2 linked regions of the Stegostoma tigrinum genome follow. The protein of the gene in region 1 binds, or shares a complex with, the protein of each later gene. Links are inferred from orthologs where the notes say so. Each region holds a gene or a part of one and is shown on either strand. Other genes may lie near its edges. The genes, in order: meprin A subunit alpha-like and fetuin-B-like.

Region 1 (15,764 bases):
GAGCTGTGAATATGAATGTCTGGAGAATTTAACTAAGTTTTATGTAAATCGTATTTCGTTTAACCTTTAATGTGACTACCTTATTTTGTTTCACTGACAGGAAAATCAGACATGGTTAAACTTCTAATCGCGAATGGATCACGACCTTGCTTGAGAACTGAGACTGGATGGACTGCGGCTCATTTTGCCGCAGAATCTGGCAGGTTACCCGTTCTTCGAATGCTACATTCTCTACATGCTCCTATTGACAAAGCAGATCTTTATGGGGACACTCCTAGAAGAATTGCAGAAATATATGGGCAGAAAGACTGTGTTCAATTTCTTGAGATGTAAGTGGTTGCATATAAATGTTTTGGATAGACGTTGTATTGCACTGTTCTCGAACAGAAATGGATTATGGAGACGTGGGTGATGATGGAAAATTGGGTAAAGCATTTTGATTAACTTGTGTGAACCCAGTCATCAGATTTCACATTCACGTTAATGACAAAAACCAAATCCAGTATGAATGTGGACCGAGGAGTTTATACCTGTAGTTATTGGGAGCGCGGGCGGGGATGGAATTTGACCAAAAGACGTAGTAGGAAGTCAAGTTTTGAAGCTATAAGATTTTTAAACTATACTTAAATAATGAACATAACTAAGTTTTTTAGAGAGATAGTTTTTGAAATAAGTTGCAAAATTCAAAAAATTGAGAGCATTTGTTATTCTGAAATTTGGTATAATGGATAAATTCCTTTTATTTGCAGAGCTGAGCAAGAGTGTTCCAATTACAGGAGAGTTGCTGAAACGAAAGGCACTGTGTTAGATGACACAGACGAAGAGTGGGAAATTCAGAAAGAAGAAGAACTGGCTGAAATAAGTGCAGTTGTCCAGAATAAGAGTAACAATGTACATGATGTTCAACAAAGCCACAAAGGCTGTACTTGCACAGTGAGACCTAAGACAGTAACTCCAAAAGGAAAGTTATCAAATACTAACAGGGCTTGTAAAAAAAAGAAAGGTAAGATCTAGCTCCAGGTCAGGTATAACCAGCGACCAGTTCAGCAGCATTACCTAAACTTGATCAAAGTAGTTTTGTACACCACAGAAAGAGGACTACCATAATTGTGTGGTATGTCAGCCTTCAGTGTGTGTATTACACAAGCCTTACTATAACTGTGGAGTCAGAATGACATTATGCCAGTTCTTTTGAGGAAATTAACATACAGTACATTTACACTGAAACAGCGATACTTCATTGATTGGCACTCCAAAGATATTCCAAGTTCTGTGCTGCTTATTTACCCACTTTTACCCCTCACAAAAGACCCAACCTGCACAGGTTTTCTAAATTTTTGTCAAATAATGCACTTTAGTAGACTTACATTGAAGAATATGGCCCAAAGTCGCTTGATATTGATGCAACTGAAGTTTCAGGGACTTGATGTCTGAAAACAATTTCCTCTAGAAACCTGTACAACACTGAGAAAAATTCCACTGAATCAGTGCATCCATCATCTTTTGGATCCTTATTCAGAAGTACCTATGCAACCATATCTGCGTGGGTTAACTTTGTTGACTTTGCTAGAGCCCTCTTAAGAGATTGTCTTGTGATTAGGCCCTCTACTTGGATGTGATCTCTGTTATTGCTTTCGGGTGTGAGTACATCAATGAAAATCAAACCCTTGTTGCCTGAGATATAGCCAGTGATCCCTATCCTGTCCTCTGATTGACCGGCACTCTCAGTGGGCGAAACATTCACCACCACAGACTCAAATGTGGTGGCACAGAAGGTGGCCACTCAACTGCCTGAAGGACAATGGATTTAGTTGAATTTCCATCATAGAACTGAAAAGGGATTCCTGCTGTTTTTTCCACTGGTAGGTGAGATCCCCATCAATCTCTCAAAATATAATCCTGCAAATACTAACCCAGATTATCTGCAGTTCACGTGCCTATCCCTATAATGCAAGTTATGGTGATTCTTGTCAGAAATGATGCAACCTATTGCTGCACATGTCATATTTTAATTAACACCCCGAAGGTATTGATTTCTGCACTTACATTGACAACTTAGTAGTGTGAAACATCAAATACGCTTTTCAATGCTAGTTGGTACTCCAGTGTTATAGCATCATGTCCCTTTATACAATGTAATTCAAATTTACAATTGTCCTAGAGTCATTACCGACTGTTCAACTATTCTGCAGGGGATTTTTTAAATGTCTAGTGGAATAATTGGAAGATTAGTCATGAAAAGTATTTGAATTATTGATGAAAGTTTTGGTTTATTTGTTACAAACACAATTTAAATTTTACAGTTACAACTGAAAAATGCCCCTTTCTGTGTTCTGATAGTGGTGTCTGTGATTAGTTGTTATTTGAAGCTTCTTTTTTCCCTCTGAGAAACTTAATATATATCGGAAATTGTATACTTAACACATAGACATTTGGTTTTGTAAGTCACTTGATCATGTACAATTTACTTTCCAGTTTTAGAAACGGGAACCTTTTTGTTGTAACTTTATTCCAGTTACTTGATTCATGAAACTGAAATAAATGTACCAGTTGAGAGTGAGACTCACTTTTCAAATCTTTACGTTTTACGTTTTATCTGTTATTTTGTTGACACTTTGTTTTCCTCTTTGTAACTTGTTTTTAGTTTAATGCAGCCCTACCATGTGGTCAAGTCATTAAAGCAGATGCAGAAAAGTTACAGGTGATCTTACTACACCCATTAAAAATAGATTTTTTAAAAAACCAGTTTGTTTTGACATGTTATCCTGCAAAATGTTTTGGAGGACAAGCTCAAAAATTGTTCTAAATGGTATTTTCACATTCAACAGTTTGTGGTTTAGTACAGAGAATACCCTTATGACATGTAAATAATGTTGTCCTTGACAATGAAATCCTTTGCAGTATCAAGGCATGGCACATCATGATTTTAAGCTTATGATCAGTTTCCAAGATTGTCAGCAGAGATAGCAAGGGTGAGGGGGGGTGCGGTGTTGGATAGATGAGTTCATTAACTCAAAGATAGAGTGAGTGAGATATCCTGCGTTGCTTTTTAAAATCGCTTGTGGGTCCTTATCACAGTATACTTTTCTTCTTGCACAATTAAACTGTGAAATCCTTATGGATGAATTAGTGTTGCATGAACCTTGTGCTTCACTGCAGAAAAATAATTGATCAACTTCATTAAGTTAATAATTTATGCAGACATTTCCTATACATGTTTTCAGTACAAATCAATTTTTAAAGTTTTGCTATTGAATAATTATTGTAAATCTAAATTTGTACAGCCTGTAAATGCAATGTAAACAACTCTGAAATTCTCACTAGAAATATTCATGATACTGCAAAGGATTTCATTGCCAGGGACAACATTATTTACATGTCATAAGGGTATTCTCTGTACTAAACCACAAACTGTTGAATGTAAAAATACCATTTAGAACAATTTTTGAGCATGTCCTCCAAAGCATCAGCACAAATTTGCAGATTGTCAGAGACTGGCTATAGGACCAGAGATACAAGCTAGGGCCTCTTGGAAGTCCTGAGGTGCTGACCTATGTGCAAAATGCTCAAAAATTTACAACATCTCTTGGGGAAAGTCCCCTGCTCTCTCTCATCCTTCAAACAACTCTCTGAGCCCCAGTCAGAGACTTGGAACAAATCCACTGAGACTTATCAGGATAGTTACTCCCGAAATTCTAGCAAAAATTTCTTAATGTAACTCTCGGATAACTCCAAAACTGATAACCCAGTCGTTCACGCTGATCCCTCAAACTATCATCCTGATGCTGTGACTGCCATCAAGGTACAGACTCCAATCACAAAATTGCTCCACCTGAATAGCCCATCAGTCACTTTTTTACCCTCTCCAGATCTCTAAACAACTCCTCACCTACGTTACTCCCTACCACAACTGACTCAACCCTGACTACTTTGAATAGCACCCTAACCTGTCTTTCCTTGACCTCCCTGTCACTCTGTCCACCTACCTGCAAACCCATCTATTATCTCACTCTCTAGTTTACTTATTTACGATGACAGCCATTGAATTTGTAGTGCCTGCCCTGTAAAGGTATTAATTATAAACAATAACAGCTATTTCTGAACAGAATTTTAATTAAACTATGAGATTAGGAAGTATCTATTTATTTACTCTTACTTGATAAATGGTCATCTGGGCCATATGTTATTTATGGTAAACCTCCTTCATATAGAGAAAGAGCTGTTCTTTGTGTAGTACTCTATCATAGTTGTCAGCCCATTCAAAAGCATTTTGAATTGATTACTTTTGAGTTATGTTGCTGCCAATGTTTTTGATAAATACATTAGCATGTAAGCATGGGAAGGTGATTTAATTTGCTGACAAAGGAAGAGCAGGCATCAACAAACAATGAAATAACAAATCAATTCATCTCCATTTGGTGGTACGGATCAAAATTTATTTCCTGCACATATAGCATGAAATGTAAATGTGTTGTACTGAAAATAAGCAAGTCTGTTCAGGTGCACGCCATCACTTGTTAGTAAGTGCATACATTTATTGTCTTAGTGTGAAATTAAATCAATCCAAACACGCTCTATCAGAGTTTCCTACTCCTGTTCTAAATCGACTATTTGTGCAATGTCAGGGAGTTCAAAAATTGTAAATTAAGGTGCAGTGTAATGAACACCATAATGCGCAGCTTGAGGCCAGTCCTAAATTAGTCATGATAGTTACAGATGTAACAATTTTGCGAATGGTTAACCTACATTTTAAATAAAAAGCAAACTAAGACCTCGGAGTAGAGTAGTCTCTGCCATGCAATGAGACCATGGCTGATCCAATATTTCTCAACTCCACTTTCCTGCATTTTCCTACAATCCTTGAATCCCTTACTGATTAAAAATCTGTTTCTTTCATCTTGAAGGTACTAAATGACCAAGCCTTAACAGCTCTCCGTGGTGAAGAATTGTACTATTTCACTACCTTTGAAAGAAAAAAAACTTCATCTCTGTTTTATTTATTCTGAGATTAAGCCCTCTGATCCTACAATCTCCAACTAGAGGAAAGATCCTTTCTACACTTAACCAGTCTCCAAACAAATCTGTATGTTTCAATAATATTGCCTCATTCTTCTGAACACCTTCTTTCTGACATTATGTATCTCCCCTGCCTCCTTCAGGGACTCGTGGACATGCACTCCAAGAACCAAACAAAATCAAAGAACTGCATATGCTGGAAATCAGAAACAAAATCAGAAATTGCTGGAAGAGCCGAGCAGGGTAGGCAGCATCTGTGGAGTGGGAGCAGAATTAATGTTTCAGGTCAAGTGACTTCTTCAGAACAGCTGAAGAGTTGTTCCTAACAGAATAGTTCTGAAGAAGGGTCACTGGACTTGAAATATTAACTCTTCTTTCTGTCCAGAGATGCTGCCTACCCTGCTGAGTTTTCCTGCAATTTCTGATTTTTGTCTCTTACTTCACTTACTTGTTTCAATTAAATGGAATGAATTTCCCTTATTTCCCAGCCATTCAACCAAACCATTGCTAGCTTCCTATAGTCAACAGCCATCATTTTTACTTTCTACCACCCAGCCAAGTTTTGTGTTATCTGCAGATTCCCCAGTCATGCCTCCTACATTTCACTCTAAATCATTATTATGTGGCCCAGACAGCAAAACTGAACCTAACTGGAAACCGTTTATCATTTGCAAGAAACATCATTACCCCTTGTTTCCTGTCACTGAGTCAATTTTCGATTCCACTTATCTGTGAAAATTTCTCATTTGTCTGAAGACAAATTCTCACTCTGGTCTCAGATGCTTAGGTGCCTATTAACATGTTTTTGCATCTCATTAATTACACAACTTATCCTATTAACTTCTGCATCTTAATTATTTTCCCCCTGTTGATAAACTTGAAACTGCAGAAATTCAACATAAGAACGAAATAGTATCTGTTGAGTTTGATCCTCAGAGTCGAGTCCAGGCCACAGTCAATCAGGGTGTTTGGCACATAATCCAGGGCTTTTCTGGGGTCGGTCCAAGGGGTTGTTGAGGCTGCAAACAGTGCAAAACTGGGAATTAACCAACATGAGTGTGAGTGAAGGGTCATAGGGATGGCGATGCAAAAAGGGACAATGGGGGAAATTGTGGGTCACAAGCAAAGTGTGCAAGTCGCTTATGCAGTGCAAAGTTGGAATCTTATCACTTTGATCAACCGTGCAATAACGTCTGGGACTGGAATGAAATGCTTGCAAAAGTTGGAGCAGTAAATACAGTTTCTTTTCAAAAGGGTTGGAATGTAGCACTGCGATTTGGTCCCAAATAAGGGGTCACATAACTCATTGTTTATAAAACCAGCCTGCTGAGACATGTTAGAACACACTTCTGGAACAGTTGGGAATGGAACACAGGCTTTTCAGTTCAGAGATATGGACGCTACCACTGCATCACAAGAGCCCTTCACTTTAACATTATTCAAGTGAATAATGCTTGCCGTCTGCTTTAAATTCACCGTTAATCTGTAAATTAATATTGTTCAACTAATCCAATTTAGACTCACTAATAACGACTCATCATGGTTACATTGTCCCCAATGATTGCCACCTTGTGATCTGTCAGCAGCACTCAATGCAAGAAGATACTTGCCATCACAGTTTTATCTTCTAAAATGACCAAGTTGCACAATCTAAGGTTTTATGTCTTGGATTAGAACTGCCATATCCTGACAACTAACAATAGCCTGTTATGATTCTACTGCAGAGCTTGAATGGAGAGTGGAGAATCTGCAGGGGCTGGTGCTCTTCCGTCGGCTGAGTCTCCTGCCCAGATGTGTGCTCGTCATAGTCAACATGAACGACTGCATGAATTGAAGTCATAAACAGGGGAGAGATGGAGGAACCAGGCACTTTTGGAACATCCTGAGAAGAAAATGTTGCAGGGGTGCCTGTCAATCTTTCCTCCAAACTGTGGGCGTCTCCTGGTACCCTCCTGTCTACCTGAGAGAGGTGGAGTAAGGCTGAAGTGCCTCACCTTGACTGCATTTCATCTTGGTATTGATGCCGAACAAGTATGGGGCTAAAGCAATGGAATTTGGATCTCAGTGCATTTCTGACAGCCAGTGAACATTCTACTGCGATAGATCTCCAAGCCAGCTGCTACCCTTTTCTTGGAGATAGCCAAGTGCTCACATACCAGAGCCATCACTATCATGGACAGACTCCTCAATCTTTCACTCCAGCGTTCTGAGGATCTCCAGCATAATCTGCCTGATGTTCCCCTGCAGGTTGACTGCAGCACATGAGGGGATTCTGATGATGAGCAGTTCAGGCTGTGACCTCTTCCAGCTTGAGATTTCCTAGGTGCTACCAATGTCTGCCGTTGTGAAGGTGAAGTGAAGCTGTTTGGCACTATCTGAGAAGAGCAGAGTGCTATGTAGCTCATTGAGTTGATGGCCTATTGCTCTCTCCTTAGCATCAGAAAACTGGCCCTAGACTTTACTGGCCAGCCTAACCATCCATTCCTGATGTCCACCATGTCCCCCCCCCCCCCCCCCCCCCCCCGTTGTGGGCCAATGTTTCCAGAGATGAACTAAAGAGATAGTTTATGTATATGGGGAATGGAAGCAGGAACAGTTTTTGAGAATGCACAACCAGGCAATGTAGTGAGGCATCTCAAGTGACTGAGCAGGAAGTGCAAGTTTATTATTTTGAAAGGTTCAGATGAGCCTTGTGCCATGAGCGTACATTGTGCACATAATGTTGAGACTTTGCTGTCCATTTCCCTTTCACTGATGGTAAAATCAGAGGGAGTTGTGTCCCTAGGAGTAAGAGGTAACTGAAAGAACTAAAGAAAAGAAGATGGTGCAATTTATTCTTGTGAATTGTAAAAGATCACTTATGGTTTTCAGTTGGCTGCCCTGTTCTTTAGATGGCAGAACAATGAAGCATGCTACAATCTTTGTTCAGACAGAATAGGTCTGGTAGGCTGGCTTCCTTATGCATTTCCCCATGAAGAGGACTGACCTTTTGGTAACTCCATCCGTCAGGATTCTTAGGGCAGTATCCAAATACCCATGGGCCTGTTTGGACTTTTTTGTAGCCATTACTAGGGATGACCACCACAGTCTGAAGGGCAATTTGTAGCTTGCAGCATATGAAGTGGTTATATTAATTGGTCCTTAAATGTGTCATCGGATGCTTCAAACCTGTTTTCCTACAATCCTCTGTACTATACAAGACGGTCAACCTGAGCTGAGAATGTAAATTTGCAAGGTGTTCCACAGCCACCACCTCCTGGCCCAAAGGCTGCCAAATAAATAAAAGCATTCCAATATTATCTTCTTTGAATTGCTGGCTGGGTAATTTTCAAAATTTACATTTGTACTCTTCATTGAAGAAAGAGGAAAAGTTGTTGTAAGGATTTCTCACTTTTTCATTAGCCATTTGTACTATTTTCATAATCTACAAAAAAACAACACGTATCCTGTAGACTAGGGTCTTTTGAAAGAATGTAGTTAAACTCCGGATGTCTGTTTTACTATTACAAGCAAGATCATTGGGTGACTGTTGCCCTCTTAACATACTGCCAGCACTGCAGATTTTCATCACGGCAAATTTTGTTGCATGTGACAAAAATGCTGTAAAGATAAATTTACTGTACAAAGTCCAGGAAATAGAGAAACTAAACTTAGTGTGTCTGTATAACACGGCACTATTAAGCTATTTGGATCCACTACTTCAATCATGAACCTCTCTGGATTGTTTTCCCTTTTCTCAACATTATTGATCACCCACTGTAATACTTTGGTGGTAAGATACAATTCTTGCAAGCTAAAAATTTATTTGTCATTCTTTCGCCATTTCAACAAATATCAATCTTCTTTTTCCAGATCAGGCAGACTCCTTCTGAGAATGGTATGTATTGAGATATTTTATCCTTTACTTTCATGCTCTATTTAAAAAAAAATCACAGCTTCTTCGAATGCAGAAATTAACTTGTTAAAATCTTATTTTTCCTTAACCAGTTTATGATGTAGATCCTGGGGATTTTCGAGATGATATTCCAAAAATAAATTTAGGTAGGTGCAAAATTTAAACAGAAAACTCATTTTTCTACCATCTGTTGAGTTATATTCTTTCAAACCTAATAAATATATATCCTAAAATTCTTCATATTAATGCAATTTACACTTCGTTATTTGGTGAGACTTTTTTGATCAGCAGGTAGAGCATTTTAATGTTGCTGTACTTTTCTAAATATCTTGTTCTTAGAATCCCAAAGGTTTCTGTTTCAAGGCGACATTGCACAGAGTGTAAGTGTGAGACATATTACATTGATTTCTAAGAAACCTATTTCTAACACTATACTTCCAATTTTGAATGCATTATTGATTTGCTCACTTTGTTACAGCGGGAACGGAATGCTCTTAAAGATCCAACATCAAGATGGAAATTTCCTATTCCATACATTCTGGCTGACAACCTTGGTAACTCTTTCTATACAAACTTGTCAATAATCAGAATGCATTGAAGTACTATTGATTTACATCTTAGTTTGAGTACCTATTGTTAGAAGAGTATTATTGCTACCTCGATATTACTTTATTTGAGATTTAATATTTCCAAGTATCCAACCATACCCACTGATACACTAATTCTACCTTAACAATTTACTTATTACAAGCTGTTGCAATCCTAAGGGGAAGTCATGGCAAATTAAATCATGGACGTAATTCAAATCCATTAACAAAATTATTTACAAATTTTTAAGTACAATAATTTGCACAGTAATGGAAAGTTGTTTGATGCATCAGAGGACAGATCTGAGTTGAATGGGTAATTACTTAGGGCTTTCCCATTTTCTGATCCTGTGCAAAGGATTGAGAATTCGATCGTTTCTTTTTTTGCATACAGTATCTTAGATCTCAATAATTGATAATAAATTGCCCATCGCAATATATCTGCTTGTAAGACAAAATCTCGCATGTATACTGTAAAAAAAATTGTAGTACTTTTTGATTAGGATATGGTGCTTTGTGCATTTTTTGCGAGGTTTTTACCTCTTTGAAATGGCTGCTTTATAACTAACTTATCAGTTGCAAAATGAAGATCAATATATTTTATGTTTTATTTAAATCAATTATTCATTTTTTAGTACTTTGATTTACAGATCTAAATGCCAAGGGTGAAATCTTGCACTCATTTGAGCAGTATCGCTTAAAATCCTGCATTGATTTCAAACCTTACGAAGGCGAAGAAACATATTTAATTTTTCAAAAATTGGATGGGTACGTACAAAATCATTTGGTTGCATTAACAAATCAAAGCAGAATTCATGTTATTGCACAAAAACTTGATATCGTCTAACTAGATTGCTCTGGGTAGTAGTTTGTTGCAAATAGGAATATTCTATGGGCATGTTCAGTGTTTGAGCAAAGGTAGAGCAATTCATTATTTCTCCACATAGTTCCTATGCAAAGGTTTAAATCATATGGTAGACCAAACTATCACATTTTCTACTATAACCTCAGAAACTATAAAAACAATCCTCACTTAAATCTATTACTCCCATGCTATAGCATGAGAATTTTAAATTCCACAATCTTATTCGCAAGTTCACTTTGACCTCCCTTTACAGAGTTCTCTAACTCCATTTCTCATTTTGCATGTTTAAATTTTACTGATTCTAGATTATGAAGATTGTCTCTTAGTATAGAGCTTTTCAGCTAACAACCTATCAGTCTGGAAGTAATTTCTTCACCCTCCTGCCTTGCTAAATGGCATCCACCTTCTAAAACCTTCCTCCAAATTTGCATATTTAAGTTTACGGTCAGGCGGAATTCTCCAATGCTTCTCTAAATTCCTGGCTGTATCTCCATGTCCATTTTAGTTTTGAAGTCTTTTGCTCTGTCAAAATTGTCTACAAGGATGTATGTTGATTGATAACATCTTATTTAGACAAGATAGTAAGGAACTTTTAACGACATCATTTACATCATTTAACTATAGGGAACTTCAGTCCAAACAGAAAATTGACATTTGGGGCCTTGAAGGTGATTTGTACTGAATGAGAATGTAACAGATGCAAACTAGTTGCTTATATTTGTAAGGAAAGGGGAATAAAGAAGTGCAATTGTACCCAGAGTAGAAGAATATGATCAGAAGTGTCAAGAAATAAAAAGCAAAATGAATTGACAGTTTTAAAAAAAGCATGCTGTTCAAATATTCAACAGATGATTTTAGAATGTGAAGATGATATCGTTAGTTAAGCAAAATTCAGCTTTGTATTAAATGTTTGACTTGCTTCATACTGATATATTTTCAAAACTGTGAGAAAGACTTTCTACTTGTTGCATTTAGTGTGAAGAATTATCATAGTGGAACAGATAAAAGAAAATTCATTGCGTATAGGATTGCGCACTAACAACTGAGTTTATTTAATTTTAAATTCTTTAATTTTAAAAGATGTAAAATTTGATAGATTCCATTAGCCATAGAGCTCCAGTTCACTCAGGGCCTGAGTTGCATGCGTGTTGTCACTTTTAAATTCATGTTGAGGTCAGGCGCTACCTGTAGTGATGGTGGATCAGATGCAGGGTGGGACTCAAACTAAGAGGCATATTTTTAATGTTAGAGGAGAAGGATTTAAAAAGGACATTAGGGGCAACTTTTTTACACAGGGAGTCATTGGTGTTGGAATGAACTGCTAGAGAAAGTGGCAGATGTACATACAGTTCCAACATTTAAAAAAAACATCTCACTGAGTTCACAAATAGGAAAGTTTGGAGGGACATGGGCCAAGCGAAGATGGGTGGGACTAGTTTAGTTTAGTAACATGGCCAATGTGGATTGGTTGGATTGAGGAGTCTGTTTCCATGCTGTATGTCTTTATGACCACAATCCAGGGCTGTAGCAATAAAATCAGCTTGTGATCCAAAGCAGATTGTTTGTGGCTTGGAATGGAATTTTCACTTCATGGTGTTCCCATGCATCTGCTGCCCTTGTCCTTCCAGGCGAGCGTTTAAACAGTGTCAAGCTTCTTGAGTGTCATTGGAACTGTACGCATCAGAAAAAATAGAGAGTATTCCATACATTCCTGGTAGGCATAGAGGAGACCGAAGGTGAATTACTCATTGCAGAATTTCGAGCTTCTGTTCTACTCAAGACAGCCACAGTATTTACAAAAGACTGACTCAGAATAGTGTCTGGTCCATGGTAAAACCCTCAAAATGTCGATAGTGGGATATGTGGAAGATGGTAAATGCAATTAAATGTCAGTGGCAGATGGTTAGATTCTCTGTTGTTAATGATGGCCATTACCTGGCACTCAGGTGGCATGGATGTTACAGTGATCAGCACAAACCTGGGTGTTGTTCAGGTCTTATTATAATTGAATATGACTGCTTGGGTATCTGTGGAGCCACAAATGGTGCTGAATATTGTGCAATCGCCAACAAACACACCACTTCTGACCTTGTGTTGAAGGGAAAGTCATTAATGAAACAAAGAAAGATTGTTGGGTCTCAGACACCATCCAAAGGAACACCTGCAGTGATGTACTGAGACTGTGATGATTGCTCTCCAACAACCACAACCTTTCAGCCAGGTATGATTCCAACCAAATGGGAGTTTTCCCCTAATTCCTATTGACTCAAGTTTTGCTGGGGCCACATGATAAAACACTCAATCAAATGCCACATTAATGTCAGGAGCAGTCACTCTCACTTCACTTCTGGAGTTCAACTCTTCTGTCATTGCTTGGACCAAGGCTCTAATGAGGTCAGGAGCTCAGTGGCCCCAGCAGAGCTGAAATTAAAGGTGCTATATAAATGTAAATCTTCCTTTATACATAAAGTACTAAAAATTTCTTTATTGAACAGGTGCTGGTCTTCTGTTGGTGACTTGCACAGTGGCCAAAATGTATCCATTGGTGAACGATGTGACTATAAGGCTATTGTTGAACATGAACTCCTACATGCGTTAGGATTCTACCATGAACAATCAAGGACAGACCGGGATGACTATGTTAACATTTGGTGGGATGAAATTATTCCAGGTTGGATTTCAAATTTTCATTCTTTTCAATTATAGGGACATCTATATGTTCTGTAAGTAAAGATCTGAGCTGTGTAGCAGATTATTTTTAAAAAAATTCAATGAGTTAAAAATTTCTCACCTTTGAGAATGAAGTAAATGGTGGCTTGGAGCCTCTGCTCTAAATTTGCTGTAAAGGAAATTCAAGCAAACAGACCAAAGTGGCAATTGGTATTAACCAGTTGCCAGACTAAGTACAAATTTCAGAAATGGCAGTATTCTTCCCTACTGTGGACCGAAATGAAACGAAACACTCTCTAAAACCTGCTACAGTCAAAATGCAAATCACATGCCTCTGAAAATGTATTGGCCCAGATTTTATCATAGTAATGATGGTAAAACCGTCAGTGACATCATTATGCTTCTGAAACTTCTGGAGTCCATGCAGTTAAACACAGAATGTTGGATGTTGTTTTAGGGATTCTTTGTTTTCCTGTCCGTAAATTGTTGCTCTACTTCTATGTTACAAATAATTAGACATCACTGATCTGATGAGAACCCATCTTTTATGCTAATGATGTAAGTATAAAATCCCTCAAAAAATATATATCTTTTTGAATGAAGTAGAATTTAATTTAAGCAGATTGCAATGTTTACAATTATTGCTGAAAAATGGTTTTATGCCAAATTTCTGCTTGTATAAAAAATACACGTGTTTTTGAAAAAAACATGTATTATCATCTGTAACAATGCAGCACTGGCTCAGTACTGCACTGATGGTCTATAAATTCTTCGAGACTTGAACCTTCCCACATCCAGGTTTAAAGGTGAGAATCTGTAACATTGTTCATGAAGCATTACATTGCATAGATCCACAAAGTACATTCAACTTAATTTTACTGTCTCATCTTAGACATTTTCCCTTCTCCTCTTTCAAAAGAGTTAAAGCAGATCATTTAACACATGCAGGATTTAATTTTGAACAAGCTTCTGGGAGATTTGTGAGTGCCCAGCAATGTTCATCTTATTAGAGAATCTGCACTGACTAAAGACGTATGATTCTTTTGAATTCACTTGAATTCTTCCCAGCTCTTTTGAGCATGGAATGGCCTTGAGTTGTGAAAGGAGGTGGGAATCCATAACTATTGATGTAATAACTCAATATCTGATAGAGTAAATCTAAAATCTAATCAAGAATTTTTCACTTTTATGTAGGTATGGAGCATAACTTTGTGGTGTATGATGATAGTTACATTACGGACCTGAATACTCCATATGACTATGAATCTCTGATGCATTATGCACCATTCTCGTTCAACAAAAACGACAGTTCTCCTACTATCACAGCAAAGATACCAGCATTTGATGAAATAATTGGACAGCGATTGGACTTCAGTGCTATTGATTTGCTAAGGCTAAATCGCATGTATAACTGCAGTAAGTTCAGTTTTCAGTCTTTACTTGGAATAAAAGTACTTTGGAGAGAGTTAAGCACTTAAGGAATAATCCATTAAATCCATTTTCTTGCGTATCTTTTTTCAGGTTCCACTCTCACACTGTTGGACCAATGTTCCTTTGAGTTCATTAATATCTGTGGCATGATTCAGGGTGAAAATGAGGATGCTGATTGGGTTCATATGAAGAGCAATCCTGGAAATGAGGATCATACTGTAAACGGCAAATGCAGAGGTGGGTGTACACTTTACCTTTTTTTATACTTTCCAATACTGCTTTCAATAGAGTATTAACATCAACAGCTGCAGCTTGTTCAGGGTTTGAATGAAGATTTGTAGCTCAGTTGCTGGTTGTAGATATTGGTGTGTTCGCTGAGCTGGGACGTTTGATAGCAGACATTTCATCCCCTTACAGGGTGACATCCTCAGTGCTGTGGAGCCTCCTGTGAAGCGCTGTTGCCTTGTGCTGGTTTGAATTTATATATGGTTCAGTTTTTGTTGCTTCCGCTTAGTGCCGGTTCTGTTTGTGCATTGTAATGGCCAGTATATTGGGTCTAATTCCATGTATTTGTTGATGGAATCTGTGGATGAAAGCCAAGCCTCCAAGAATTCCCTGGTTGTCTTCTGTTTGGCTTGTCCTGTTCAAAAAGGCCGCCACGCACTGCAGCATACCCAGTCCGCAGAAGGAAGAAAAGAACACCTCTACAAGGTCTTTACCAGGAATGGGTACCCCCACAGCTTCAACCACAGATGCCTAGCCAATAGACAACACAACCAGGACACACCAAAATCCAAAACAATAACTGTTGAACTAATTTAAAAAAACACTTCCGAACTGACAGCCAGAATACTCAGACTGCTAGGAATCATGACAGCGCACAAACTGACAGCAACTGACCACAGTTAAAGACCAGTACATACTATGGACAAGACAAAAGTGGTTTACAAGATACCACATGGAGACTGCACAAAACACTATGTGAGACAAACAGGCAGGCAACTAGCAACCCGCATCCACAGACAACAACTAACAACTAAAGGACACGACCAGATATCCTTGGTTTCAATACACACAGACGAAAAAAACCGCACTTTCAACTGGAACTACGCTACTATCATAGGACAAACGAAACAGAGGACAGCCAGGGAATACTTGGATGCTTGGCATTCATCCGCGGACAAACACATGGAATTAGACCCGATATACCGACCATTACAATGCACAACTGGAACTGGCACCTACAAGCAGCAAAAACTGAACCATATATAAATTCAAACCAGACAAGACAACAGCGCTT
Region 2 (15,290 bases), on another chromosome or scaffold:
CCACACTAAGGAGAGGACGAGGCAACCATGGCTGACAAGGGAAATCAGGGGCAGCATAAAAGCATAAGAGAAAACATACATACAATACATTGTATGTGGTGAAGATTAGTGGGAAGCCAGAGGATTGGGAAGCTTTTAAAAACCAGCAGAGGACAACTAAAAAACACAGTAGCAAAAACAGAAGTTGCTGGAATAGCTCAGCAGGTCTGGCAGCATCTGTGAATAAAAAAATCAGAGTTAACCTTTTGGGCCCGGTAAACCTTCCTCAGAACTCACGAGTGCTGCCAGAACCGCTGAGCTTTTCCAGCAACTTCGGTTTTTGTTCCTGATTTACAGCATCTGCTTGATTTTTTTTTAGAAAAAACAATAAATGGGCAGAAGATGAAATTAAAGTGTGAGCAAGTTAATAGTATAAAAGAAGATTGCAAAAGTTTTATTAGGTATATTAAAGGTAAGAAAGAGGCAACAGTGGATTAGAGGCGCTGGAAAATGAGGTTGGGAAAGTAGCAGGGAAACAGAAATGGTGGAGGAACTAAATAGGAATTTTGCATTGGCTGTAATAGTGGAAGACACCAGCAGCATAACAGAACTTCAGGAGAGTTAGTGGGCAAAGGTGAGTATGCTGGGCACCACAAAGGAAATGTTGCTAGAGAAGCTGGAAGGTCTGAAGGTGGATAAATCCAGTGAAGAAGCTGGACCACCCCACAAAGTTCTGAAGGAGACAGCTGTGGAGATTGTAAAGGTATTGGTGGTGATCTTTCAGGAATCACTAGAGTCAGGAAGAATCCCAGATGACTGTAAAATGCCCAATGTAATTCCCCTGTTTAAGAAGGGAGGGAAGTATAAGGCTGGAAACTATAGACTCGTTACCCTGACCTTGGTCATTAGTAAGATTTTAGAGACCATTATTAAGGATGAGATTATGGAGTATTTGGAATTGTAGCATAAAATAGGGTTGAGTCAGCAGAGGGGCTTTGTCAAGGTAGTTCATATCCGACAAATCTTTTAGAATTCTTTGAGGAGTTAATGAGTAAATTAGACCCAGGAGAACCCTGGGCCTGAGCTATTTGGATTTCCAGATGGCCTTTGACAAGGTGTGGCCCAGGAGGCTGCTAAATAAGATAAAAGTCCATGGTGTTAGGGACACAGTGCTGGCATGGATAGATTGGCTGGCCAACAGAAATTCGTGAGTGGGGATAGAGAGATCTGTTTCAAGATGGCAGCTGGTAACTAATAGAGTTCAACAGGTCTCAGTGGTGGGACCAGAACTATTCATGACATATATAAACAATCTGGACACAAGAACTGAGGGCATCATTCTAAGTTTTCAGATGATACAAAGATAACAGAGAGAAGCACTCGATCAGGTTTGGTGATGATCTTTTCGTCCTCACTTTCCACGGATATAGTGCCGGAAGATTAGAGAGAGGCAAATGCCATTCCCTTGTTCAAAAAAGGGAATAAGGATAACCCTGTAAATTATCGGACAGTTAGTCTTACGTCAGTGGTGCGCAAATTATTGGAAAGGGCTCTGAGAGATAGGATTTATGATCACTTGGAAAGGCAGAGTTTGAATCAGCATGTAGATTGTGAGAGGTAGATCATGCCTCAGAAACCTTATTGAATTCTGTGACGAGGTGACCAAATATGTGGATGAAGGTAGAGCAGTGGATGTGGAATACATGGATTTAAGTAAGGCGTTTGATAAGGTTCCCCATGGTAGGTTTACACAGAAGGTAAGGAGTTATGGGATAGGGGGAAATGTGGCAGATTGGATTCAGAATTGGCTGACCCCTAGAAGATAAATGGTGGAAGTGGACGGAAAATATTCAACATGGTGCTCGGTTACAAGCGGTGTGCTGCTTGGCCTGCTGTGTTCATCCAGCTCCACAATTTGTTATCTTGGATTCTCCAACATCTGCAGTTCCCATTATCTCTACCACAAGGATCTGTTCTGAGTCCTCTTCTATTTGTGATTTTTGTAAATGATTTGGATGTAGGAGCGGAAGGTTGGGTCAGTAAGTTTGCGGATCATATGAAGGTGGGTTGCATTGTGGACAGTGCAGAGGGCTGTTCTATGCTACAAAGGGACTTTGATAGGATGCAGAGCTGGGCTGAAAAGTGGTAGATTGAGTTTAACCCTGAAAAGTGTGAGGTGAGTCATTTAGAGCTGCGAAGAGGAGGAATTTCTTCAGCCAGTGGTTGGTGAATCTGGGGAACTCTGCCACAGAAGGTTGTGGGGTCAGGCCATTGAGTGTATACAAAACAGAGACAGCTGGGCTCTTGATTGATAAGGGGCGTCAAGGGTTGCAGGGAGAAAGCAGGAGAATGGACTTGAGAAACATATCATGAGTAACATGATTGAATAGTGGAGCAGATTCAACAAGCTGAATTGCCTAATTCTGCACCTACATCAAGTGGGCTTATGGACTTGTTGGTGCTATCTGAGTTTCTGTAAATGATGTTGTTTTAAACATTTGTTAAAGTTGTTGAATTCTGCAGTCAGTGGAAACTGATTTTGTTGTGACTGCAAGAATTTGGTCAGACCACCAGTGCTTGGCCATTATCATTTTCCCAGGCAGTAACGTGGGCTGGAAGAAGTGCAGAGGCAGAATTCTGCCTCCACTCACACCAAAGCCTCAGTCTCATGGAGGGACAAGCTGCCAATGGCTGGAAAGGTTACAGCAGCCCTGAACTTCTTTTCTTTATCTTTCTCTTTTTCACCCCGATTGTTGGAAGATGGAACAGGCGACCAACATACTATCTCCAGAGACAAAATCAGAAATTGCTGGAAAGACTCAGCTGGTCTGGCAACATCTGTAGAGAGAAAGCAGAGTTAACGTTTTGGGTCCAGTGAACCTTCTTCAGAACTATCCCCAGGTCTGGCATCCCTGGTGCATCAGTGGTAAGGTTTTTTACTCTCAGAAAAAGGTTGGTTCATTGTGCTCCCTGTAAGGAAGGGGAGTTTACAGGTAGCTTCACAGATTGAAGCATTTCCCCATGATGCAGGGTGCTATCAACTGCTTGGACATGACTTTGCACTTGAAGCATCTCAACCTCAAAAATGATCCCTCACTGATGATGTGTGATCTTGTTTAATACATTATGCTGGTTAGTACCCAGTATCATGGCAGCAGTTCTGATGGACACAGTTCTGACATACAGCAGTCTCATTCCTTATCATCCCCCTGCTACAGACTTGATAATTTTTTTTATGGCTTCTTTTATAATTTCCTTATAAATTTCACCCCATACTTCTTACGGCCTTCCAGCCCAGCTTTGGGTAACCTCTGCTTCTTTTGCAATGGAGGCTCAGAAATTGATCATGAGGCAATGCCTCATTTGGCTGGGGGCCAGTTTGTGATACAGAGTGACATTAAGAGTGCAGGTTGAATTCCTATACAGGCTGAGGTTGCTGTGAAAGTTACACCTTACTGACCTTGTCCCTAGCCAAGGGAGTGGTGAACCTGAGGTTAAACTTGTCACCAGTCATCTCTCTGTAATGAGAGCATATTACCTGGGCTTATGGTGACTTTATTTATGGAACAGGATCAGCAGGAACATTTGTACCCCTACCCCATCCCTGTCAAGCCCCCACAATCTGTCTGATCCAGTTACCAAAGCAATGTTTCCACAGTCCTCCTTCCCGATGGCTTTCTCAAGGCATTGTCAGATGGAGTAGAGGTCTGGAGTTACAGTACTTGTCTACCATTCATTACTCTTCAATAAGTTTGCTGTGTTCAAAAACTGAACATTAAAAAAAGCATTAGTTCTTGCTGTTGAATTTGGAGGGGAGGGGAATCTTCCTACAGTATATCACTACCCACATACATCCATTCTCCCAACTCTGCCCAACTGTAACCTTTGCACCTACCTTTTAATACTAAGGCAACTCGGTCTTGCAGTACCTCAGAAGAATTCTGACCCTATTTACTACCACTGAGAATTGCAATGTATATTTGTCTTACAGGGTCTTCTTGGTGACAAGCCTTACTCGGCGTGGAGAGTAAGCATTCGAATTGTTGCAGGTTGCAAGAGCTTCAGCCACTACCATTGATCTTACACAACTCAAAGCCAACCTCAAAAAAGGGAGAAATTCAGATTCTTTGCAATCACAGCGTGTTGTTTTCAGACAAGTGGTAAATAGGCTGACCGACAGCAAGATGGAAACATTGAGAACAATCCCATCCCTGGGATTGTAGTCATCCACAGGGGGACTGTGGGGTTTGTTGCTAGCACTGAACCTTGTCAGCAGCAGCAAGGACAGAAACACAAAGGAGCTTGTGTTGCATTCCTGGCTAGCATTGCTGTATCCATTGATGTGTACCACAGTCAGATGATCTGAGCACCACAGCAACTTTGTTGCTATTAAAAAAGGTGTTGTAAGTAATAGGGAAAAAATAGCTTTCGAATGATTTCAAAGCTAACAAAGAAACGTTTCCTAAATATATAAATGTGGAAACTGGGAATCTGGATCCATTGAGGATTCATACAGGCAACTTATCATAAGAATTAAAGAAGATGTTAAAGAGTTATTAGGCAGCATTTCCTCCAAGTATTGGGACGGTCATGCCCCAGCAAGAAAGCAAGTTAGGGTCCTGCATCAGGAGATAGCAAGAACTGCAGATGTCGGAGTCAGAGACAACACAGTGTGGAGCTGGAGGAACACAGCAGGTCAGGCAGCATCAGAGGAGCACGAAGGTCAACGTGTCTGAAGAAGGGTCCCGCATCATTTCCTTTCATGAAGATCTGCTGCAACTTAGACTGGTCTTCCTCAGGAGCACAGGCCCCAGGGGTCTATCCCCAAGACAGAACAACCACATGGGCTGTACCACCACTGGAGGCCCAGGATTGCTGAGGTTCTCCAGGCTAGAGGTGAACAAAGATGATGTGGGATGGGCAGGGGATGGTAGCAGCAGGGTCTACCCCCATACTTGCCAATGCCAGGTCAAGCATTGAAGACCTCTGTATCAGGTATTCAGTTTAGGGACTGAGTACCTTTAAATGAGGCCCCTCCCTGGGAGTCCATAAACAGGCCCTGTTTTCTGACCTTTTTGCGTAGCCAATCACTTGCCCTCTGCTGGATGAATAGCATAGGGACGAAGGTCTTAGTTTGGAGCTAATTTCCTTTCTGAAAGCTTCTGCAACTGTATCCTGGGCTTTCTGACCCACAGATCACAAGATGTGAAGATAGACAACTGCAGCTTCTCCATGATAACACTGAAGCCCCCCAGACATGCATCCTCAGCCCCCTACGACACTCCCTGTGCAGCAATGACTGTGTAAACATTAACGAGTGTAAAGTACTAATTTAAAACCTTGCTTCCCTCTTCCAGTTCCATCCACAGTTTGTCACTCAGGCCCTTAATGGGCCCATTCAGTATTTTACCTTCCAATATTTTTTCATACCGCCCCCCCCCCCTTCATTTTCATAATTTCTTTCTGAAGGAGCGCCTCCAGTTTCTATTCGCGTTTAAGTCTACAAGTTCTCTAAGCCCTCAGTATCCACTATATATTCCTTATGCAATTTCGAACATTCCTTGATATTCAGGCTTCACTGGAATTTTTAGGCCCACACTTCACTCTTACAGGAACATGTTGTCCCTGCAATGTTACTCTTTCCTATTTGATAGACTCCCATTACTTTAACATAGATTTTCCACAAGTAAATGCTTCCAGTCTGTATTGGCCAGATCTTGTCTTATCATGTTAAAATTGGCCTTCACACAAAATCAAATTTTTATCTGGTCCATCGTTGCCCTTATCCATGGCTACCTTAAATCTCACTGAGTTATGGCTATGATCAGTCTCCCAATAATGCTTCTTTCACTTGCATGGCTTTGGTCCCTAAACTAGGTCAGTCTCTACAATTCTGTTAGGAATTTTCTTAATTTCTCTTCAATCTGTAAATGATTGATTTCTACTATAGATTCATAAAATCTGGTTTCCGGAAGGCCAAGATTATGAAACTTGGTTCTACAGGTTTTTGGCTTCTGACCATCATGTGAGCTGTGACTCAAGAATGCGGTTCCCTGATTTTTCTATTCCAATTTTCAGTCATATTGTATTGAATTATGCCTAGAATCTGTTAAGAAGTTCCTTTGCTTTAACCCTCTAGACTTGCTATGAAAGCCACTTGACGAGCAGTTTAAGCTGACATTGTGGTATGACAGAATCACATTACAGAGCTTCATGCGGTAATTTGGCCCCTTTAGCTTTCCAATGAAAATTATGTCTTAGTACCACTCATCTGCCTTTTTAACTATAACATTGGACATTATTCCTATTTAAATAATCATTCAATGCTCTTCTGAATGCTTCTTCTGTCTCCACTATTATTCCCAGGCAGTGCAGTTTGGACCACAACCACTTGCTGTGTGAATACATTTTCTCTCACATCACATTTTCTTTTCTGCAGGTCACTTTAGAACTGCATCCTCCCAATCTCAATATTCTTATATGGGGACAGTCAGACCTCTCGTGGTTTTAAATCTTCAGTCAGATCTTCTCTCAGCCTTCTTCTGTCCAAGGAGAGCTATCCCAACCACTCTAATCTATCTTCACGACTGAAGTTTCTCATAAGTGGAACAATTTTTGTTTCTCTGGTACTGTCTGTAATGCGTTCACATTCGCATTATATTGTTGTTCCAGAAACGTTCACAGTACTCCAGCTGAGGTCGAACAAGTGTCTTGCACAAGTTCAGCATAATTTCCCTACCCCTACACCTCCCCCCTCATCCCCATCCCTGGCTCCAAGAAGACTTTCCACATCAAGCAGATGTTCGCCTGCATATATGCTAATTTGGTATTTGATTCTGCCGGGTGTGGCCGTTCTAGGTAAGGTTTCAGGTGAAGCATTCCTTTAACCATCATGAGAACATAGCCCAGGCCTTCACTAACTACAGTAGTAACTGTACGGTATGAGTGATTCAAATGACCTTTGTTTTAGAATTTGCTATGTCATTGAAATTCTTTGATTTTGTCAATTTTTATATTTGTTTTGACATGTTTGTTTTTCCCATAGTCAAATATGTAGTCTGAAATCACATGGCATTTAGACAAGTAGCTGAACAATTGGATTCTACCCTACTGTGGTGAAGTTATCAATGCCACTGTGAGTTTGTTAATGCTCAAGCCACCAAATGCGCTGTCTATTAAACACAGTACAACTCCATTATTGCAGTTGTCATACAACATGAGCCTGTTTATTGCTTTGCTGATCAGCACTCAATTCTTCCAGCTCTCCCTTTCAGCCTCTTACAGAGCCCTTTCCTGCAATGAGGCAAGGGTAGTGAAAGCAGCAGATCTAGCTGTGGAACACATCAATGCTGACCAGCCAGGAGGATACAAGTACACGCTAAACAAAATTGAAAATGCCCAGGAAGTCAGAGGGGTGAGTACAAGTAAAATATAGCACTTAGATTAGTTAAGTTGATATGGGACTGCATTTAAAAGAGAAACAATTGAAAATAAACATTCTATTACATTCTATTAACCATATACCGTGATTATTTATTGACAACAAAAGTAACCTGGGGATAGTTCTGATGAATGGTATTTTCAGCAGTTCCGACAAAAAGTTCACTCTACAATTATTGGCAGACCTGCAGTATATGTCCAGTATTTTCAGTTTCACTGAGACTGTTATAGCTAAATTCTGCTATATGCAACCACTGTTCAAGATCATTGATCAGTATCGTTTTGAAATTAGCTTAAATTATTATTGTCAAGGTGAGCACAATATCTTCATTGTAGCAGTTTTCTTTAAGCATAACCTTTTGTATTTGAAGCAATGCTGTAATATGCTCCTACCTATGGTCTAATTAAAACATCATTCTATTGTTGTTGGCAACATTCGTAGTGTAGCTGATCCAAATTGGATGATATGTATATACTTACAATGTCACTGTTGTATCAATGTGCAGTTAAAAATACAACGGGTACAATTAGCAATTTAGTATATAAAATCATGAAATATTGGAGTTGGAGTAGGTATTTGGCCCCCAATGAGTCTGCTCTGCCATTCAATAAGATCTTAGCCAGTCTGATTATAGCCGTAACTTTAATTTTAAATCTGCCTCCCATAACCCTTGATTTCCTTGTTGATCAAAGATCTATCCAACTTTGCCCTAAATATTTTCAATGACCCAGCCTCCCCTGTTCTCAGTGGAAGAGAATTTCAAAAACTAACAACCTTCTGAGAGAAGAGATTCCTTCTCACCTTCATCTTAAATGGAAAATCCCTACTTTTGAAAAGTTGCTACCCACTTCTAGATTCTCACAAGGGTCAAGAGAAGAAAGAACCTCAAGGCATCTGGCCTGTCAAGCCTCCTTAGAATCTTAATGTGTTTCAATAAGAACATCTCTCATTCTTTCAACTGCCAATCTGTATTGGCCCAACCTGTGCAAATTTTCCTCATAAGTACATGATCTTCAACCTAGCAATCAGTCTAGTGAACCTTTTATAAACTGCTGCCAATGCAAGTTTATCCATGCTTAAGTAAGGGCACCAAAACTATACCAAATACCCCAGAGGCAATCTCAACAATGCACTATACTGTTGCACTAGATATTTCTACTTCTTTATTTCCATCCCATTGTAATAAATGCTAGCACTGTATTTGTCTTCCCAATTACCTGAGTATGTGCATGCCAACCTTTTGTGATAAATGCATGAGGACATCCAGTTTATCCAGTCCTGCAGAGTTCTCTTGGTCTTTCTCCATTCAAATAGGCTTGCATTTTCCAACTCTGTTCATATTTTGCTCAATCGCTCAACTTCCATTTGTGGGAGTTTTGTTTCAGTTTCAGTAGGCTTTTGATATGAATATGCATCATAGCTCTGTAAGTGTGACAGATTTGTTTTTGGTCAATGATAAATCTTGTTTTTTTCTTACAGAAGCAAGGTGTATCCTCTGCTTATTTAGAGTTTGAGGTATTGGAGACTACATGCCACTCACTGAACCCAAAACCTGTGGCAGAATGTGAAGTACGATCAGGATCTGAGGCGGTAAATCTCTCTTTTGAACGTATAAGCTAGCTGAGACATTTACATTTAAATATATTATTAATATTCTTCGAAATGTGTATGGGGAAGAGCCACTCACTTACTGTGTCTATCCCTGTAAAATGATCTGATCAGCGCCCACACTAAGGCCATCACTGTTCGCTTGCTATCTGCACTGCTGTGGTATCTCAGGAACAACTGAGGTAGCATTGATTTCCCAGCAGGTTTTTGGTGTACAGAATGCCAGCTGAATAGAATTTTGTGATTACACTAGCCTCCAACTCAGTGAAGGAAATTATACACGGGACAGGGAGGAAGAATTTTTTTTTCTGTATTATCGTGGCTTTTGAGGCAATGTAGTCTGTTTCTGTGTTCAGGTTTTCCTGCAACAGGTTGTCAACCATTCAGCATTAAACTTCATTGGCCAGAAGACTTTCGTGCTCCTACTGCCTACTATAGGCATATTGAAAAGATTCACAGGTTGATAAACAACTCATTTGGCTGTGCTATGAACATGCTTTTCATGATCACAGTATATCCCAAAACATTTATATAGCCAACTAAATACTTCTTGAGAATTGTTGTTGTAATTTAGGAAACCAACCAACCAACCCACAATAAACTCCAACAAACAACAATGCGTTACTGAACCAGATAAATGCTACTGACCTGTTTATTTCAGTTGATTGAGAGGTGAATATTGGTTGCAACACCAGAAATAACTCCCCAAAGGATTATTTTAAAATGTCTCTTTGGTCACAACAAAAATAAAGTTGCCATGGTCTTATCAGACCAAAGAGTTGCACTCTCATTAGAGAGAGAGACATAACTGGTGGTGTTTTAACCTGAGAGTCACCAGGTCTCACCCAAGGGGAAAGGTTGAGAAGGAGAATTCTTTGTGGTAATCTCAGCTGGTGTGGGTATCAAACCCATGCTATTGGCATCCCTTTAAATTGCAAACCAATCATCTAGCCATCACACCACTGAAGGATTACTTTATTAATGTTGACCATTTTCCCCAGCACCTTGCTCAAATGGCCATTGTGTCACATGTACATCATCACAGTGGAAGCTGGCAAACTGTTTGACTGTGAAGCATCACATTTCAATTTAATCATTTGCTAAACTGACACCTTAGGCAGTACACTGAATGATGAGTAGGAGTGTCGATTCCAAACTGATTTTCCTATTTATAATCAGAACAAATTGTACTTATATATTTCTGTCAGGCTGAGATCGAAAAAGCTGATTGCTTATGTCTTATTCCAATCATAAAATTACTTTTTGCAAAAGAAAACTGCGAAATGTTTAGTCAATCATGAACTAAATGAGATGGAGATCTCATAATTTTATTGTGTCCTGTTTTAGAATTAAGGGCAAATGCTGAAAACAGCTATGGTTATTTTTTAACAAAATGTAGAGCTGGACGAATACAGCAGGGCAAGTGGCATCTTAGGAGCACAAAAGCTGACGTTTCGGGCCTAGACCCTTTTTCTGGTGAAACGTCTGCTTTTGTGCCCCTAAGATGCTGCTTGGCCTGCTGTGTTCATCCAGCTCTACGCTTTGCTATCCCGGATTCTCCGGCAACTGCAGTTCCCATTATCTATGTTTATTTTTTAGTCAGCCTTTTTGGACATGTTATGACACATCTCTGGGGCAGGTGGGACTTGAATTCGGATCTCCTAACCCAGAGCAATAATACTCCCACTAAACCACAACAGCCCCTCTGATTACAGCTGTATACAGAGCTTCTTCACTCATCCCCTGAATTGAGAAAAAAGTGTAGCGGGCTGACAAGCGAACTGCAAATAGCTGACAAAGTATATTTTCCTTAACTCAAATAGATTTCTGGCGACTGTAAAGTCCAATTACAAATCAACCCAACAACGCGACTTGTTCGGATTCACAGATACCGATGTTTAATATCACCAGGTATGGCAGAGAATTGTGGTAATGTGATTTTTGTTGTCGACTAGGCAGATTAAATTCAAAACACTGCTCACCTTGAACAGGTTCATTAACAGGATAATTCACCAAACTGGGCTTTTCTCATTCCAAGCATTTCTTTCAACCCTTTGTTTCCCTCTTGGCCTCTATGTCTTAAATATTTTGCTCTAGTTTGCTAGGCATTATATTTGCTCCTGCAGTACCCTGTATTATCCCGCAAGAGAGTCTTATTATGGCTTGTTCTTTTTAAAATTCTTATTTGGCATGTAGGTGTCATTGGAAGGTCAGCATTTGTTGCCCATCTCTAATTGCCTTTGAACCGATTGGGTCTCTCAGCCATTACATGGGACAATTTGCAGTCAACCATATCTCTGTGTATCAGGAGTCACATAGAAGTCAGGCCAGGTAAGGATGGTAGATTCCCATCCCCAAAGGACACTAGTAAACAAGATGGGTTTTTACAATAATCAATGAAGGTCATTTTGTCACTATTTGTCTAACTTTATTTTTTAAATCGAGGCTATTTTTAATGATTTATGTTTTCTCCATCGTAGGGTTTGAGCCCATGTTCCCAAAGCATTAGCCTGGAGCTTCAGTCCAGGGATATTACCATTACTCCCCTGCCCCCACTACACTGCCTTTATAGTCCTCATGAAGACTTCATCAATCCTACTTTTACTCAATGATGATTGCTGCTGGAACTGTCTGTCAGATCTGGTCAAACTCACACATGGCAAAATACCTTGAGCTATCATAGAATCTAACGCTGAATTATATTGAATTTCCACTGTGTGCTGGTGTTGATGCTTCACATCCATTAGATTTACCAAATCCAAATTAAGCCTCTTGTCGTTTCTTCCCAATGAACTTATCTAAATTCTCCTTAAATGCGTTTGTGCCGCTTGTCCCAGATAATCCTTGGGCAGAAATTTACAGGCATGTCTTTCTAAAAGCAAAATCAGTGGCTAGTTGGCCGGCGAAGAAGAAGCCGACTCAGGAGCCATAAAGGGGCAAAATATTTTCTGCGGGGGGGTTCCTAATGTGCAAAGGACACCCCCCAAAGAGTGTACGGCTTGCCCGCTGTCTTAAAATCTTAAAAAAATACTGTCCATTTGTGTCTGCCTACCCATGCCAACCATGCCATGAAATGGACAGGATAACATTAGGGTCAATTAAGCTTTTAACAGCCTCAATAGACTCTTTATTATGTAATTATTTTGCCACTACCCACCCACATTATTAAGGGGGTAAGCTCAAGGGTAGATGTGAGATTAGTGGGCTGGGCACTCATCCTATCTTATATGCTAGCCTCCTCACCTCTCCCACTGAAAATGCACCAGGCAGAGGTATGTATTATCCAGCCCCATGCATTACCAAGTTTCATGTTCTAATCGCTAATGGAAGTTCCAACAATCTTATGGAGATTGCTACTGCCATAGTTCATGACAGTGCCTACTGCAATCATTGTGGAATACTAGTGTCCCGTAACACAACTATGGAGATTGTTACTGAGTATCTGGCAGTGTCTTCTTCAATCTTCACATTCCAGCAGTATGCTGAAATCCTGTAATATTATTATATGTGGAGATTGACATGACTAAAACAAACACATGGATGTGAAAAGCCATGATATCCAACTGTCTGTCATGTAGTCTGGACACTTGACCAGGTTATTCCTTTAAGGCTATATTTTCAATAATTTAAAACATTTAGAGAAAATGTAAAGAGTAGTTAAAAACTTAAATAAAATTTTATCGACGGTTCTGAGGAAGGGTTATTAGACCTGAAACGTTAATTCTGATTTTTTCTTTGCAGATGCTGCCAGACCTGCTGAGCTTTTCCAGCAACTTGTGTTTTTGTTCTTGATTGAGAGAATCCAGTTCTTTCGGTTTTTACAACTTTATCGAGTTTACTCTACATTTTCTATTTTGTTTGAAGACTCAGATGACGTGGTTTTGAGCAGATGCCCAAGTTGCCCACATCGCATACCATTAAACCATTCGGATGTCAATCCAGCTGCCATGACAGCATTGCAAAAATATAACAGAAACAGCAACACAACAAATTATTTTGCAGTCCAGGAAATAACAAGAGCAGCCTCTCAGGTAAAGTTTTTTTTTCAGAAAAGCTTAAGGAAAAAGTCTGAACATTTCTTTTGTTTAAAGATATTTCTACAGATACTATCAAGAAAAATTTTGTGAAAAGGTCCGCACAGTTTGAGATTTACTGTCCAAGAATAACAATTTTATATCGAACATTGCAGAGACAGTGAAAATGTTGCTTTCTAAGGAGATGTGGATAACAACAAAACATTAATTACATTACAGTTGATATCCTATCTGGTTGTCTCCAAAGTCTCTGAGTATTTCAAGTTTGAAAGAAAATCCAAAATCTTTTCAAAAGGTTAGATCATGTGGAATATAGGGGGAACTAGCCCTTTGGATACAGAACTGGCTCAAATGTAGGAGACAGAAGGCGATGGTGGAGGGTTGCTTTTCAGACTGGAGGCCTGTGACCAGCAGTGTGCCACAAGGACCAGTTCTGGGTCCACTGCTTTTTGACATTTATGTAACTGACTCGGATGTGAACACAGGAGGCTAGGTTAGTAAGTTTGCAGATGACACCAAAATTGGAGCTGAGGTGGACAGTGAAGAAAGTTACCTCAGAGTACAATGGGACCTTGATCAGATAGGCCAGTGGACAGAGGGATGGCAAATGGAGTTTAATTGAGATAAATGTGAGATGCTGCATTTTGGAAAGGTAATTCAGGGCAGGGCTTATACACTTAATGGTAAGTCCTGGAGGCTGTTGGTGAACAAAGAGACTTTGGAGTGCAGATTCATAGTTCCTTGAAAGTAGAGTTGCAGGTAGACTACAGTGAAGAAAGCATTTGATATACTTGCCTTTAATGATCAGTGCATTGATAATAGGAGTTGAGAAGTCATGTTGCGGCTGTACAGCACACTGGTTAGGTCACTTATGGGATACTGTCTGCAATTCTGGTTTCCCTGCTGTTGCAAGGATGTCATAAAACTTGAAAGGGTTCAGAAAAGATTTACAAGGATGTTGCCAGGGCTTGAGGGTTTGAGCTATAGGGAGAGGCTGAATAGGCTGGGGCTATTCTCCTTGGAGCATTGTAGGCTGAGGGGTGACCTTATTACATTCAAAAAATCATAAGGGACATGGTTAGGGTGAACAGCCAAGGTCTTTTCCACGGGGTCCCTGAGTCCAGAACCAGAGGGCATAGGTTTAAGTTGAGAGAGAAAGATTTAAAGGGGACTTAAGGGGCAACTTTATCACACAGAGGGTGGTGTGTGTATGGAACGAGTTGCCAGAGGAACTGGTGGACGCTGGTACAATTACAACATTTAAAAGGCATCTGTATGGGTATGTGAATGGGATGAGTTTAGAGGGATAGGGTCAAGTGCTGGAAAATGGGACTGGATTAATTTAGGATATCTGGTCGGCATGGATGTGTTGAATCGATGGATCTATTTCCATGCTGCACATCTCAATGACTCTATGACTCAATGACTCCATGAATCAATGGAAATACTGTTACAGGTGCAATGCTGGCTTAACATCCCACTGAACCTGAATCTGGTTAATCACTGCCTCTGCTTCAGTGTATGCTGTGCAGGTTGTCAATTCATATCTTCTTCATCAATCACCTGCAGTAAGACAACATTTTTTCAAATCGTATTTAAGTACCTACTGTTGTGATAATATATCCAGTCATTCACCTCCATCATGTATGATTGAGGTGATGACTTCTTCACATAGATCCTAACTTGCAACATGTGCTGCCTCGTGTTGAATGAGTTGAAGATTTCTACCTTGACAGGCTCTCCAGTACGTAATTCTGCCAATGACTTGATGCTGTTGCCAAATTGAAATTTAGTTTTCCGTTATTTCACCTTGATTTTTTGTTACTCATGCCTATTATTTCTTTGGCTTCAATAGTTTTTTGCTCGTGAAGTAGTTTTATGGCATGACATCAATTTTCATACCGGACTTCTTTCCATGTTATGGATGTGTTTTTCCAGTTGCATATTATTCTGTATACATCAGGTCTGGCTTTGCTTGATTCCTTTGACAATTTTCATGATTAACTCAGTCATTTGACTGGGGCTAATATATGGTGTTGAATTTCCCAGTCCTTTGTGAAGTAGCTGACTTCTTTCCCTGTGATTGAGGACCATTATTGCTTATCACACTGCATGGAATGCTATAATGGCAATGTGTAAATTGACTTTCTACAATCTCGCCGGTAGTCATTGAAGTCATCTCGTCCATCTAACAGTTAAAATAGGAGTCTATATGACAAGATAATCGG

Evidence for each region.
Region 2: the proteins of meprin A subunit alpha-like (region 1) and fetuin-B-like are in contact, whole or in part, in a cryo-EM structure (PDB 7UAI), measured with the Homo sapiens proteins. The link is inferred for Stegostoma tigrinum from reciprocal best matches to the Homo sapiens genes MEP1A and FETUB. Residues at the interface, in NP_005579.2 of Homo sapiens: Asp126, Gly127, Cys128, Trp129, Ser130, Glu131, Val132, Gln145, Gly146, Cys147, Tyr149, Ile152, His155, Glu156, His159, Tyr164, His165, Gln167, Ser168, Leu184, Gly186, Tyr187, His189, Asn190, Asp192, Tyr194, Tyr214, Gln215, Phe217, Ser218; in NP_001362516.1 of Homo sapiens: Phe109, Phe110, Lys144, Lys145, Tyr148, Met149, Thr150, Cys151, Pro152, Asp153, Cys154, Pro155, Ser156, Ser157, Ile158, Ser196, Ser197, Gln198, Trp199, Val200, Val201, Gly202, Tyr205, Phe206, Thr242, His245, Trp246, Phe249, Val250, Ser251.

What each region holds. Positions count from the first base shown.
Region 1 is NC_081357.1:122,154,458-122,170,221, reverse strand, and holds the start of meprin A subunit alpha-like, read left to right. Parts: upstream 1-8,652; 5' UTR 8,653-8,722; coding exon 8,723-8,788; intron 8,789-8,868; coding exon 8,869-8,893; intron 8,894-9,003; coding exon 9,004-9,057; intron 9,058-9,250; coding exon 9,251-9,291; intron 9,292-9,389; coding exon 9,390-9,465; intron 9,466-10,148; coding exon 10,149-10,266; intron 10,267-12,858; coding exon 12,859-13,034; intron 13,035-14,227; coding exon 14,228-14,449; intron 14,450-14,554; coding exon 14,555-14,701; intron 14,702-15,764. Other genes in the region: ankyrin repeat domain-containing protein 66, read left to right, coding at 101-329, 750-1,014.
Region 2 is NC_081367.1:51,961,317-51,976,606, reverse strand, and holds the start of fetuin-B-like, read left to right. Parts: upstream 1-7,040; 5' UTR 7,041-7,126; coding exon 7,127-7,393; intron 7,394-8,899; coding exon 8,900-9,010; intron 9,011-10,851; coding exon 10,852-10,939; intron 10,940-12,892; coding exon 12,893-13,059; intron 13,060-15,290. UniProt on the Homo sapiens protein: Protease inhibitor required for egg fertilization.